2 linked regions of the Neurospora crassa OR74A genome follow. The protein of the gene in region 1 interacts with the protein of each later gene in a pairwise test. Links are inferred from orthologs where the notes say so. Each region holds a gene or a part of one and is shown on either strand. Other genes may lie near its edges. The genes, in order: NCU04319 and NCU05296.

What was found.
Region 2: the proteins of NCU04319 (region 1) and NCU05296 interact in a two-hybrid assay, tested with the Schizosaccharomyces pombe proteins (3 studies listed by BioGRID). The link is inferred for Neurospora crassa OR74A from reciprocal best matches to the Schizosaccharomyces pombe genes alp6 and alp4.

The regions. Positions count from the first base shown.
Region 1 is NC_026505.1:5,599,273-5,606,049, reverse strand, and holds NCU04319 (spindle pole body component), read left to right. Parts: upstream 1-3,080; 5' UTR 3,081-3,358; coding exon 3,359-3,516; intron 3,517-3,602; coding exon 3,603-6,348; 3' UTR 6,349-6,583; downstream 6,584-6,777. Other genes in the region: NCU04320 (transcriptional co-activator), read right to left, coding at 722-1,467, 1,527-1,635, 1,694-1,983, 2,048-2,276.
Region 2 is NC_026504.1:5,423,738-5,430,327, forward strand, and holds NCU05296 (spindle pole body component 97), read right to left. Parts: upstream 4,593-6,590; 5' UTR 4,150-4,592; coding exon 1,894-4,149; intron 1,818-1,893; coding exon 1,386-1,817; 3' UTR 1,214-1,385; downstream 1-1,213. Other genes in the region: pca-5 (proteasome component PUP2), read left to right, coding at 5,225-5,249, 5,391-5,403, 5,623-6,148, 6,215-6,388. UniProt on the Schizosaccharomyces pombe protein: Component of the gamma tubule complex that is required for the regulation of both interphase microtubules and mitotic bipolar spindles.

The sequences.
Region 1 (6,777 bases):
CGTGTTCAGCGCCGCTATAGTGCTTCACTGCAGGGTTGCAGCAGGGTTCACTAAGGGGTTAAATTGCCAAGCCTGGACCAAAGTAAACATTTGGCGCCTCTTGTTCCCAATTACCCCTGAATGCATAATGTACATCTCAACATTGTTCTTTACACCAGATTCAAAGCCTCCATGACACATTGACAGGTTCTTCTGAAATTCCGAGAACCATCTAGCTGTTAGTCTAGTGTAGCCAGATACAAGGCCAAACACACTCTCCATAACCGTAGGTACTTCCCGCTGCACTTTTGTAGTGGCAGCCTATGCCATACCGTTTCCAATACCACTTTGCTCGAACCCCTTGCAATTCATCGAGAGAGACGCGCCAAGAAGACAAAGATGATTCCGGGTATCGTCGGTAGAGAATAAAAAGAAAAGAAAAAAAGATACAACCAAAGGGATAAACGCTCTGTCTCTTTCTCCTGCAAAGGGATCCGGCATCCAGTGCTCTTCACCATCTTTCCAACTCCTCAAAGAACCATATAGTAACAAGTGACATGCCCATAGGTCAGAAACTCAGGCAGTAACCTACCTGTGCTTTTTCAAAGGGAAAAACGCCGCCGCAGAGTATGTTGAATGCAGGTAAAAAGGCTGCCCAGTCATCTTACGTAACGCCAGTCGCCCTTTGTGTAAAATGAAAAACCCCCATGTTGAAAATGTTCCACCGTGCCCCAACCAAGTATTAGCCCACGGTAAGGCATGTATCCAAAACGCTGTTGAGAAAGTCCCCATCCTCCGAGCTTGCGCCTTCCCAAGGCATATCATCATCATCGTTGTCAACTTCCATAGCGTCCTCGTGATTGACGCCATTGGGTAATGGCCCATCTGCTTTGCCGTTGGCCGCCATTCCACCCATCTCCACATCTCCGTCGGTAGTCGGTCGTACTTCCCGCCCGTCAATGTACGTGTGATCGTCCCAGTTTTCAAGCTCCCCTTCCCGGTAGTCGTAGATGACCGACTTGGCGACAATGGGAAAGTTAGCTAGTCCGCAGTCACCCATCTCCAGCGCTATGCGGAAATCCGCCATGCCCAGAGGCCCACGCTCGCTGGCGGCTTTAGCTTCCACGGGCAATAGGCCGCTCTTATCGCGTGTTACCTCGCCCCTCTGAAAGGCCTCTTCTTCCTTCTGCAACTTGCGTCGGTACTTGTGTGTTTGAATCCAAGCGTTACCCGCTCCGAAACCGGCGTTACCAGAGTCTCCGGGGCCGTTACTCCTCGTTCGGCTGAATATGGAGGACATGACCTGCTTGATGAACGTTTCCGTGGCTATCGACATGAACTGGGCGGCTTCTGGCGCGTGTCCGCCCGAGAGGCCAGCCTCGTAGCATATGGGAAGCATTTTGGCCTCGATGTTGCTGACATCGGGGAACTCTCCGGACTCTACTGCGAGCGGCTGTGCATATCGTTTCCTGATTTCCAGATCATAGTCTGTGAAGAGAGAGGCAAGGTTAGTAACAGCTCATGCTGGTGGCTAGTCGAAAACTTACTCATCCGGCTGAGACCTCCTGCGGCACTTGCTGGTACCTCGGCAGTCTTGATGGACTTGTTTCTGGAGTGGTCAACGAACACGCTAGACAGGGACTCGTAGGGGTCGAACTGCATCGAAAGCTGTTAGTGGTCCGGTCGAAACAAGCTGACGTCGTGTTTCACATACGTCGTTGAGGGCGAGATCTTTGATACGTCTTCTGTCCCTGCTGGGAAGTTGCATGACCTCTCCCTTCAACCGTCTTTCGGCGGCATCACCCGACACGGGCTTGTTCGACGTGTTGGTTGAGGGTTTATCGTTTGCGCTGACCCAAGGCGCAAGGCCCTGGTCAGGCATTTCTCGAGTGACATTTCCGTATATAGCAGCGATGAGCTGGTTATGAAGGTGCTCTTTGGTACCATCGGGAGAGGCCAATATTGGGTCGATGCGCGCACTGAGCTCGGCTTGGTTGAGGCGACCTACAAAAGGATGTTTGTTAGTCCCTGGGCGTGTCGAGGGCAGTCGGCCTGAAGGGAGACCAACCAAGCAGAAAGTTGCCAACGGCTTCCTTGTAAACCGTCCATTGTTCTAGACCAATGTTTGCCCTGAGAGCAGTATATATAGGTTCGAGGTCGATGCGGGCCGGGATGAGTTGGCTGGTCTTTGGCTTTTGTAATGGAGGAACGGAAACATTGATGGATTTTGTAGCAAGAATAGGAGTCGAGATGTTGACGGATGGCCGACTGAGGGCCGCGGGATTTATGTCGACCATGTTGGTAGGTGTGGCTCTTCACAGAGCGGTTGTAGATGTGTCGGTCTGGAAATGCCGTCGAGGTCGAAATCCGGGCCGGGACCGGAACCGGAACCGGAAGAGGAGGGCGGACTGTGACCTCGGCGAAGAAGGAGAAGGATGGTGCCTGGCGTCCTCCAGAAAGAACCTCAGGAGGTCGGACCACTCCCCCAAACAGAAGAAAGTTGAAGTTGATAATGGTTTCCCTTCTTCCGAGCAAGAACTCTACTCGTTGGTAATGGGCGCTTCCCTTGGAATATGAAGCCCCTGCCTGCGAATGGCGTCAGTCCCGGACAGTCGCGTGCGAAGCAACAGCACAATTGCGACGCGGGAATATGATCATCTGGGCCTGAAACCGTCGGCCAACGCTATGCAATTGCGAATCTGGGCTCAGACTGATGAATTGAGCATCCTGTCGTCGACAAGTAGATTGGTGTATCAGATCGACAAAGGCTGGTTGTTGGACGGTTGGAAGTCTGAATCGAGACCCACGGGACCTGAGTTGTCGTTCTCCTCCTCCTTTGGTGGTCACTTCGGTTTCCGGGCGGTTGTTGGGTTGTTGGACTTTGCGAGAGAGTTCTGAAAAGAGCGCTGAAAGATGCACGCTAAATCACCTAAGGTACGGGCGCAACATGGAACTACCTCTACCTACCTACCTATTGAGCGCCCGGGTACCTCTACTGCCTGCCGCCTACAACCCGGGCAGTGTACTAGTCTATTTTCCCGTTCAGTGAACTGGGAGCGCTGGAAAGAGCCGCCATGATCACCAAGTGCAACTTAGGTAGGTTCAGTACCAAGCTTCCAGGAACAAACAACAAGATCAACACCATCACCGTCTGTCGCGTCTTGTGGCGCGTCCCGTCCCCTCTCCGGCCGGCAACACCCCCCAAACCAAACCAAACCAAACCAAACCAAACCCACCTGCGCTACCACTTGGCATCATTAGGTTTGAGAAATTCGAGCAAGCAAAGGAAAGCTGAAGAACCAAGGGACGGAGACAAGGAAGATGTGATGGGCATACAACTGGACGCCGCCAATTCCACCCACCCCCAGACAATGCAACAATGGCTAGCCGACAGCAGGAACACCGAGCCCAGAAGATCTCCAGCGCCATCGACAGCCTCATAGCCCACCTGATCCCCGAAAACCCCTACGAAGACGACCAGACCGCCGAGCTTCGACACGACGACTATGCCTCGGCCGTCAAGGCCCTTCTCGAACAGTAAGGAGGCTTGCTCCAGCAACGGCGCCGGCCTGAGATAACAAAACAAACATTGCTAACTCTCTCTGCCTTTCTCCCCAAACCAGACCCTCCTCGCCAAGCTATGATGCCGACGTCAACAATGCCTCCGACTTGATCAAGAGGAAGCTGATCCAGGGAAACCCAACCCAGGCACTGCGCTTTTCCCACCTCTACACCCGACTACTCTCCCTCCCGGTGCTCAACCAAAAGTGGGCCATCCTCTACTTTCTATACCAGCTCTCGGACTCGCCAGACCCCAATGAGCCCCTCCCTTTAAGCCCGCTTGCCCGACAGCAACCTCATTTCGACCCTCAGTTCCACCCCCAGATCCAGGCGCAAACACCTCCTCAACCGTCAGCATGGCCTGCCGAACCCAGGATCCCGGCATATGACGAGGTTCAGGATGAGGAGGTCATGGAGGATGCCCCTTCTCCCGAAGGCTCTCACAATCTCCCCCCAGAAAGGCCAAGACATGGTCGAGACCAAGGTCATACGCCTGTCCAGAGTCACCAGGCTGGCCCTGCTTCAAGAGACGAAAGGGATGTGGCGCATGACCCTTCGGAGCCGGCCTTGTTGAGGGACCTGCCCTTCACCCTGCAGGGCCTTTCATCGGCAACTCTCCCCTTTCTCAACGACACAACGTTGAAGCTACCACCAACGCTTCCTATCCCCATCATCTCTCTTCTCAACACGCTGGCCGAGCCTTCGCTTCTCTACAGAGGACTAAACGAGTTTACCAAAACGCCGGCAAACGGACTACTGGGCCAGAGTCTACGGGCTGCCATCAGCAAGGAGCTTCGGTCATATTTGACTCTGGTGGCTACCCTGGAGACTCAAATTCGCCGCGCTCTCTCTGAGCTTGACGAGTCTGCTCCCCGTGGTGGCATTGGAAAAACGGGCGTTACGCTCAAGCGATGCGTGGTATGGACCCGTGAGGCTACTATGGGCTTGCGCCTCATGTCTCTGATTGCCGAGGAGAGCAAGAATAAGCATGGTGGGCAGTTGGTCACCCTGATCCACAACTTTTCGTCTTCACACGGCGATCCTGTCGTAGCTGCATTCGCTGAGCGCTTGCTTGTTGACGTGACTCGGCCATTCTACGATATCCTACGCCGCTGGATCTATGACGGAGAGCTCCTCGATCCCCATATGGAGTTTTTTGTTCGGGAACAGAACCCCCTCGATGAGGAGAGGAAAGACGCCAAAGCTAAGGGCCAAATGAGTGTCTGGAACTCCAAGTATGAGCTTGTTGAGGACATGGTCCCGAGTATTATCACACGCAACTTTGCTGACAAGGTTTTCCTCATCGGAAAGTCCCTTAACTTCATCCGCCACAGCTGCGGTGATCACAAATGGGTCGAGGACTACAGTAAAAATGCGTCCAGGGAGCTCAAATATGGTGACACAGCTACCCTGGAAGCCTGGATTGACGAGGCACACAGGGAGACAATGAGCCATCTTATGCGCCTCCTAAATGACCAATTCCGTGTCTTTGATCATCTAGAGGCGCTGAAGCGGTACATTCTGCTGGGGCAGGGTGATTTCATTGCTCTGCTGATGGAGTCGCTGGCTCCTAACCTAGATCGGCCAGCGGGCGCCCAGTATCGACATACACTCACTGCGCAGCTTGAGCATGCCATCCGAGGCTCAAACGCTCAATATGATGATCCAGAAATCACCAATCGCTTGGATGCTCGCATGCTTCAGCTTAGCCATGGTGATATCGGCTGGGACTGCTTTACGCTCGAGTACAAGATTGACGCGCCCGTGGACGTCGTTGTCACCGAGTGGGGCAATCGACAGTACCTCAAAGTCTTCAACTTCCTTTGGCGTATCAAGCGTGTCGAGTTTGCCCTGGCCTCGACCTGGCGCAAGTGCATGACTGGCGCCCGCGGCGTTCTCCAGACGTCGGACGAGACGGTGCTTCAAACATGGAAGAGCACACGGGGTGTCCTCGCCGAGATGGTCCATTTTGTCGGCCAATTACAGTACTACATCCTCTTTGAGGTTATCGAAAGCAGTTGGACCGAACTGCAAAAGAACATTCACAAGGAGAACTGCACGCTCGACGACCTAATAACTGCCCATACCAAATACCTCACATCTATCACACACAAGGGTCTCCTCGGTGCCAAACGACGACCGTACCCGCAGACAGGCGACCCTGTCTCAGCATCTTCCACGACCGACGAAGATCGCAACTCCTACATGGTCCAGCTAAGCGAGCTGCTCCGGATAATGCTCGCCTACAGAGACAGCGTAGACGGTCTCTACAGCTGGTCCGTCTCCGACTTTACGAGACGTCAGGAGAAGGAGACAGCCGGGCTGATCTACTCACACCGCGGCGGGAGCACCCGAACCACGACGCGAGACCGAGCAGATTCCCAAGCTGCGTCGTCCATGGCTGACTCGATGGATCTCGATCCGCCATACGAGTACTTCGACGCCGCGGCCACCAGTGACGCGGGATCAGTTAAGAGCGAGTTCCCAGCGTTGCAGGACCGGTTGAAGCAATTGGGCGCCAATTTTAAGACCAGGTTGCAGATTCTCTTGGGAGATTTGGCGTACCAGCCGGATGTGGATATGCGGTTCTTGGGAGTGTCGATGAATTTCAATGATGTGTATCAACCTGTGAGGAGGAAGACGAAGACCTCGTCGAGTGCCGTCCCCACTGGTGGAGCTGCCTCTGTCGCTTCGGCGGCATCGTCGATAGCGGGCGCTCAGGGACAGTCTCAGGCTGGGGGGAGTGGTGGGCAAGGTGTTGCGGGAGGAGGGACGACTTTTCGTGGGACAGATACCTCGAAGGCCTAGGCAGCATGTGGGTCTGACACGAGCGAGTCGAGTAGTGGACCAAGGTATTTGTACCGGAGCCGGTGACGACAGATGATAGGTATACCACTAGATGTAGGATGGGAAGTAGCGGGGGGAATGAAACCGGACATAATAGCGAACATTGGCAGAATGGATGATTGGATCGGTCGTGACCGAGCATTGACCTACTGACATTAAATCATATCCAACCAAAACCTAAAGCGTATTTGACGGCAAAGACATCGGTAATGGCCTCGACATCGAGGAGACAGAAATCTGGATGCTGGGTGGCTACTTAAGTTGAACCAAAAGTATACTCATCCATCAAAGCGGGTTTAGCTCAGTTGGGAGAGCGTCAGACTGAAGTCCACTTCACTCATAAATCTGAAGGTCGTGTGTTCGATCCACACAAACCGCAACCCATTCTTT
Region 2 (6,590 bases), on another chromosome or scaffold:
AACTCAACCCATAGGTACTAGTTCTGGGTAGTATTGTGTCATGGAATTTTTTTACGATTTCTTTCCGGGGGAGCGTTTGAGAAGGGTTCGTCACATCCCGTCCAGGCACTATACTACAAGCTGGCAGGATTGATCGTTCGTGGATAGGTAGCAAGCATCTGTTTTTTTTTGTTTGTTTGTTTGTATTTGTGTTACTGTGAACTGAACAGAACTGCACCGCTCTGAACTGAACTGAACTGACCTGAACTGAACTGAACTGACCTGAACTGAACTAAACCGCTCTGAACTGTGACCCTCGTACGACCTACCTACCTACCTACCTCTACTCTAGGTACCATACAGGTAGGGTAGGTAGTTGGGTAGTTGTGTGGTGGGTGGTACCTGAACCGTACCGTTATCTCGTTGCTTCCCCATACGTCACTCTGTCCCAAACTGTTGGTAATAAAAATTTCTTTCCCCAAAATTCTCTTTGGGTGTACAGTAGTAACATAACCCTTGTCTTTTTTTTTTTTTTCTAGAACCAAAATGGAACAAAAAAAAAAAAAAAAAAGACGGGGAAAATGAAGAATCGAACATCACCGGTTGCCACGGAGAAACCAAATTCTTATCCACGGTTTTTGGGGCAGTCGGTCAGTCGCTCCGCGGATTTACCTCTTCCACCGAAGAACGGGTGGTACTTATCTACGTACCATAGTAGTGTAGAGTAGTGTAGTGTAGTCCCGGCTCCCGGCTTTCGGGGTTACTGCATTAAAATGTCATGGGGTGTCTTTGACGAATCAGATGATGGGATGGGGCATGATTGATAAGGTTTGATAGTGCATTGTACATATGTATTGTAGTGTAGTGTAGATAGGCCGGCGCCCGGAGATCCATGAATCAAGCCATTCAACAACAACAGCTCACAAGCCAACGACACGGTAACTACCTAGAAAGAAAGAAAAAAAAGTAGAGACCAAAACCGCCCCTTTTGGGTCCCCTGAACCCCCGCGTCGGTAACGGAAACCGCGCAGGTGCCAAAGAGATGGCACCCATTCCGATATCCGGATAACATGCCCAAGCCCGTCTAGACGTCTGCAGTTCGGTATCTGGAGGAGGAGGAGGAGGCGGCGGTGGCGAAGAAAGCATCTCCGGATGAGATACACCAAGGCTCAGTTGGGACGAAACCAAACATGAGCTTGAACGTAATCACGACTCGAGTTACCGAACGTTTCATATAATGCTTCTTCTTATTCTTATTCTTCGTTCTTCTTCTGAATTATTCATCTTTCTTGATTCAGTTATGGGTGGTATCATGGTAATAATAATGCCCTTTCTGCTTTACTCTGCCCTCTCTCATCACATATCCACACTCCACACCCCTACACTACACCCCCAGTGAAGCATCATCATGACCCCCCACCATGCCCCCCGTCCTCCTCACTCCTCAACCCAGCATACTCGGTCCCCTGATTAGCCGTACTCAAGCGCGCACACAGACTCAACAGCACCACCGTCTCCGTTGCCGCATAGTGATTCAGTGCGTCCAGCAGGATCTGCAGGTGTCGACTAAAGTTGCTTTCCCACTTGCGTATCACGTCAAAGAGCTCGTTCATTCTCGTCTCGGGGTTCTTGTCGTTTTCCATGTTCGTGTCTCCGTCTTTTGACTGCTGTTGCTGTCGTTGGCCCCGAATAACCAGAAACTGTCGCCATTGATCGTCCGTCATGTTGGGCGGCTTGGTGTTGCCTGTCAGGTCTGGATCTGACTTTTCGAGCTCCCGGGAGAGCCAGTTGGTGTAGGTGGCGAAGACGGAGCAGGTTTGCATTAGTTTGGAGTGGATCTGGGGGGGTTTGTTAGTTAGTTTGTATTATTCGGAATACCTAGGGTAGGAGGTAAGGGGGGGGGACAAGACATACTCGTAACAACTTGCTGTTGGTCAACATGCATTCCTTCAAGCAAGTGTCGAGGAAATCCACGTGTTCCTGCATAAGCCCATCGACGGTATGAGGCTTCTTGGCAGATGATGCCCTTGGCGTAGAGGTACCGTCTTGTGTAGTCACACCCGCGCAGTTGTTCTCAATCTCCCGGAGCGTGTTCATGAGCTTCTGCCAGTTCGGCTCGATTACCTCGGCAGTGCAAAAATAAAGCAGCTGCTGAACGAATACAAGCATACGAGCTCGGAGTGTCCATACCCTTCGCTTCCAGATCTCCAGCATGCGGTTGGATGAACGGTGTGTCCAGGCCGTGCCGCTTGCGTGAGTATACCATGTGACCGATAGTTGGGTCTCGAGGTAACGCAGTGACAAAAGGTAGCGGAACAAGGCCTGATAACGCCAAATGGTCTTCCTGCTAATAACAAGAGACACCGGGAAGGGAACAGTATAGTCGAGCTGGAGCGAGGTAAATCCAGTGGCGTTTTTGTCGCCTTCCAACGGTTGGTTTGATGTAAGCTGAAGCGCCTCGCCTTGCTCAATACCGGTAATGTTAACGACCCGCTGAAGCGATTTGAGTAGCGTAACCTCGTTCATCTCCACCTTGACATCCTCCTTGAACTTGTCCAGACAGACTATGCTTCCCGGTTGTCGTAGGACTAAATCGAGCAAAGACTGGAGCTTGCCAGTGTTCACCACCTTGACGGGCTTTCGTAATTCGGACGTTCCTAGTTCCAAAAAGTAGTTGAAGTAATCCGAAGGGTCCAGGAAAAAGTAGTGTTTTAACGATCGTAGTCTCGCCGGCAACTCGTGTGTGGTAAGAAGCAATTGCATTAGCGATCCGTTGGCATGAGCGTAGGCGCTGCTGATGTTCTCCAGAAACCTATTGTCGTCGAACGAGTTTGGTACGTCCTGCATCTTGCGACTAACATCGACGCCTCCGCACTCTCGGACAACATTCAGGTATTTGCCAGCCAGCAAGACCTTGTCTTTGACGGCCTCCAGTTGAGGTGGCACGTCGTGATCTCGTATCGTGTATCGCCTCTCCCAGTATTCGTCGGTATAATCCTGCTCTAATCGTTCCCTGCGAATACTCTTTTGTTCTTTGATCAGAAACTCGGAATGTGGGTCGTTGATGCTTCCATGGTGCAACCACTCGTTCAACATGGCCATGTATGGTCGGCTTGCGTCCCGTAGCAGAGTTGTGAGGAGTACTCTGGCGGACGGGTCTCCCGATAGCGACTCCAGTCTCTTGGTGATCAGCCCCAATACCACGCCTCCCTTGCATATCTTTTTGCCCGTCATATTCCCCGGCACAAGATCACCGCCGTCTCTGAGCTGCTCGATGATGTGATCGAAGTCGTCGTCGGAACTATCGCTCGATTCGTCCGAGTCGTCATCCAGAAGCGCATTGCGCTTTAGCAGCTCCAGCGCCAAGCCATACATGTGAGCCATCAGATGGCTGCTGGGAAGGATATGCACGTTGAGTTGCTGTAATGTAAAGTTCTCGTCGTTGAGAAACTGTGTCTCCAGCTGGACAACCATGACCAGATACTCGTGCAAATACCTCCGGATCGAGGCGCACAAGGCGTGGTTGACGGCACCGAATTCTTCGCGACTCTGAACATCAACAAACGTCTCCAGCGCCGTGTAGTGAGAAGCCATGCGCAGCATGGATTGTGTAAGGTCCAGCAAGCTGGGATCCAGCCCAGATAGGATGCGCCATTGTGGCCCAGACAAGCGGTCTCGTTCCTCGTAGGGATTGTAGCCTTTTGCGAATCGGATGTACTGTCCCTCGAAGCCCATAAACACGAAGAGCAGGTCCTCGATCATGGCAGCCTCTTGCGCATTGAGGGACAGCTCGGCAAGCGGTCGCGGCTGTAGTGTCTGAGGCGCGGACGAAGCAACGGGCGGTATCGAGACTCGCGAAGCTAAAGGGGCTGACGTGTGAGGGAGTAGGGTAGCGGCGGGTTCCCAAGGGGCTGGCGGTGGTGGTTGTGGTTGTTGTTCAGCAGCGCGGCTGTCTCCTCTTGGCCGCCTTGACTCGACATTCCGTGATCTGGACTTGAGGGTGTCGCTACCAGCGCTGAGGGGGTCGGCGTTCCGGCCGGATCGAGCCATGGCAGGATCGCGTGTGGTCACCTGGACTTTGGCTGGGCGGCGGTCATTGACGAGGGTTCTGCTGGTGGGACGTGTCTGTGAGGTGGATTGGGTCGGGGCTAGGGTGGCCGATGATCCCATTGCGGAGGTGACTCTGGCGGCGCGGCGGTCGGGGAAGTGGGAGAAGGTTATGGATATGTTTGGCGGCTCGTGGCCATGTACAATGCCGTGGGCCGCTGGACTGGATCTGGGGTCGGGCGTGTCGGGCCTGGGTTTGGTGAAGGTTGACGGTCGGAGACCCGGTGATGTTGCCCCCTTCTAAGGGTACATTATCTTTGGACTTGTAGCTTGTCAGCCTAACGTATGTATTGTGACGGTCGAGCAGCGGTCGGGAAATCTGCCGGGTAACAACAACAGGGTTGTCCTGTGAGGAGACGTTGTTGGATATGGAAATGGAGGAGGAATTGCGAAGCCAAGAAGGTAGCAATCGCAGTCCAAAAGTGATGAGTGAGTGAGTGAGTGAGTGAGTGTGAGAGGATGCCGTCCCGTTGGATGTTGGAGTGTGTCGGCGGAATGGAGACCCGATGCCCGCTGGATGGAAGTGACGCGACCACCAACAATTAATTGGACGCGTTATCAGAGGGAGGAGGACCCGCCAAGCAAGCCGTCTCAGTGGATAGGTGATGCCCCAGCGGGCGGCTTCTACGGGCAGGGAGGGGCACCCGGGCCGCTAGGTCTGAGGGGTTCCCCTGGCCAGGCGCTGACAGTCGGGTTGCTAGGTGGGAACTGAAGGTAGACGGGAGGTACGTACCTGCAAGTACCTTTTGGGACACCTACCTAGGTACCTAGGGTACAGGGGATTGGCCGGCCCGCCTGGCAGAGGAGCTTCGTCGGCCTGTCGTGCCTGGAGCTCTTCCATTCCACTGAGGTGCTTGACGTCGGTCGGTCCCAGGCACCTCAGTTCAGGCCTTACGGCAGCTTGTTCCCATCCAAACCACCACGGCACAGCATCATCCAATCTCTCCCAAAACAAACAACATCACTCACCAGTCCTCGACTAAGAGACACCGACCCTCGACGCTAACACCATCTATCTCTTCGGCTATCACCAACCAACGCCCGGCGCATATAACCAGCAAAGCCAGGCTTACCTCCCGACAGCAATACTACATCCCGGACCCTTCTCCCCACTCGAGCTCCCCTCAACACCGTCAAAATGTTTATGGCAAGATCTGAATACGGTATGTCACTACCACCCCCCTCACTTGCTTTGCCCATGTCAAGCTTCAAGTGATGCCACCGGAGGGGACAAGCTACACCAGACAGCTACACCAGACATCATGGACTGACGGACGGCTAACATACTTGGGCGCATCATCTAGATCGGGGCATCAAGTAAGTGAACATACGAACGAACGACTTTTACGCTTGGCCACACCACCCTCTCTCTCTCTCTCTCCCATACTCCTCCAGCCACTACTCGATCGCATATCCCTCGATAACACCCTCTAACGAATACCGATAAAACACCACACAACCTGCCACAATACCTACATCCAAGTCACCCACCTATCTACCCAGTCCAACAAGGAAGACTAATAATCATGCCTACAGCACCTTCTCCCCCGAAGGCCGCCTCTTCCAAGTCGAGTACTCCCTCGAGGCCATCAAGCTCGGCTCCACCGCCATCGGCGTCGCCACCTCGGAGGGCGTCATTCTCGGCGTCGAGAAGCGCGTGACCTCGACCCTGCTCGAGACCTCGTCGGTCGAGAAGATTGTCGAGATCGACCGCCACATCGGGACCGCCATGTCCGGGCTGCAGGCCGATGCGCGCTCCATGATCGAGCACGCCCGCGTCGAGTGCCAGAGCCACGCCTTCAACTACAACGAGAAGCTGCGCGTCGAGAGCTGCACGCAGGCCATCTGCGACCTGGCCCTGCGCTTCGGCGAGAGCGCCGACGGCGAGGAGAGCATCATGTCCCGCCCCTTTGGCGTGGCGCTGCTGATTGCCGGCTACGATGAGGACGGCCCGAGTCTGTACCATGCCGAGCCGTCGGGAACGTTTTATCGCTATGATGCAAAGGCAATTGGAAGCGGTAGCGAGGGCGCGCAGGCCGAGTTGCAGAATGAGTACCACAAGGTGGGTTATCTAGGGTGCCCGGGACTGTATTAGGGCCTTATTGCTAATTTTCATCTTGTTATATAGTCCCTCACCCTCGAAGACGCCGAGACGCTCGTCCTCAAGACGCTCAAGCAGGTCATGGAGGAGAAGCTCGATGCCAAGAACGTGCAGCTGGCGAGCGTCACCAAGGACAAGGGCTTCAGGATATACACAGACGAGGAAATGGCCGCTGTTGTTGCGCGGTTGCCCGCCAACTAAAGAAGCATGTGTCATGTAATGTTGATGAAGGGGAATGGGAAACTAAAGCATAGCTGGAGATAGCAGGCGAACGGGATGGAAAGCGGCATCTCCCGGTTTTTTGATGGGAGAAACTGTTTAATGAATCGAATCCAACTCAAGCACTCTTGGTTGGTTGGTGGCCCTCTACTCACCCCATTCCACGGCATATGTCCAGCGTTTC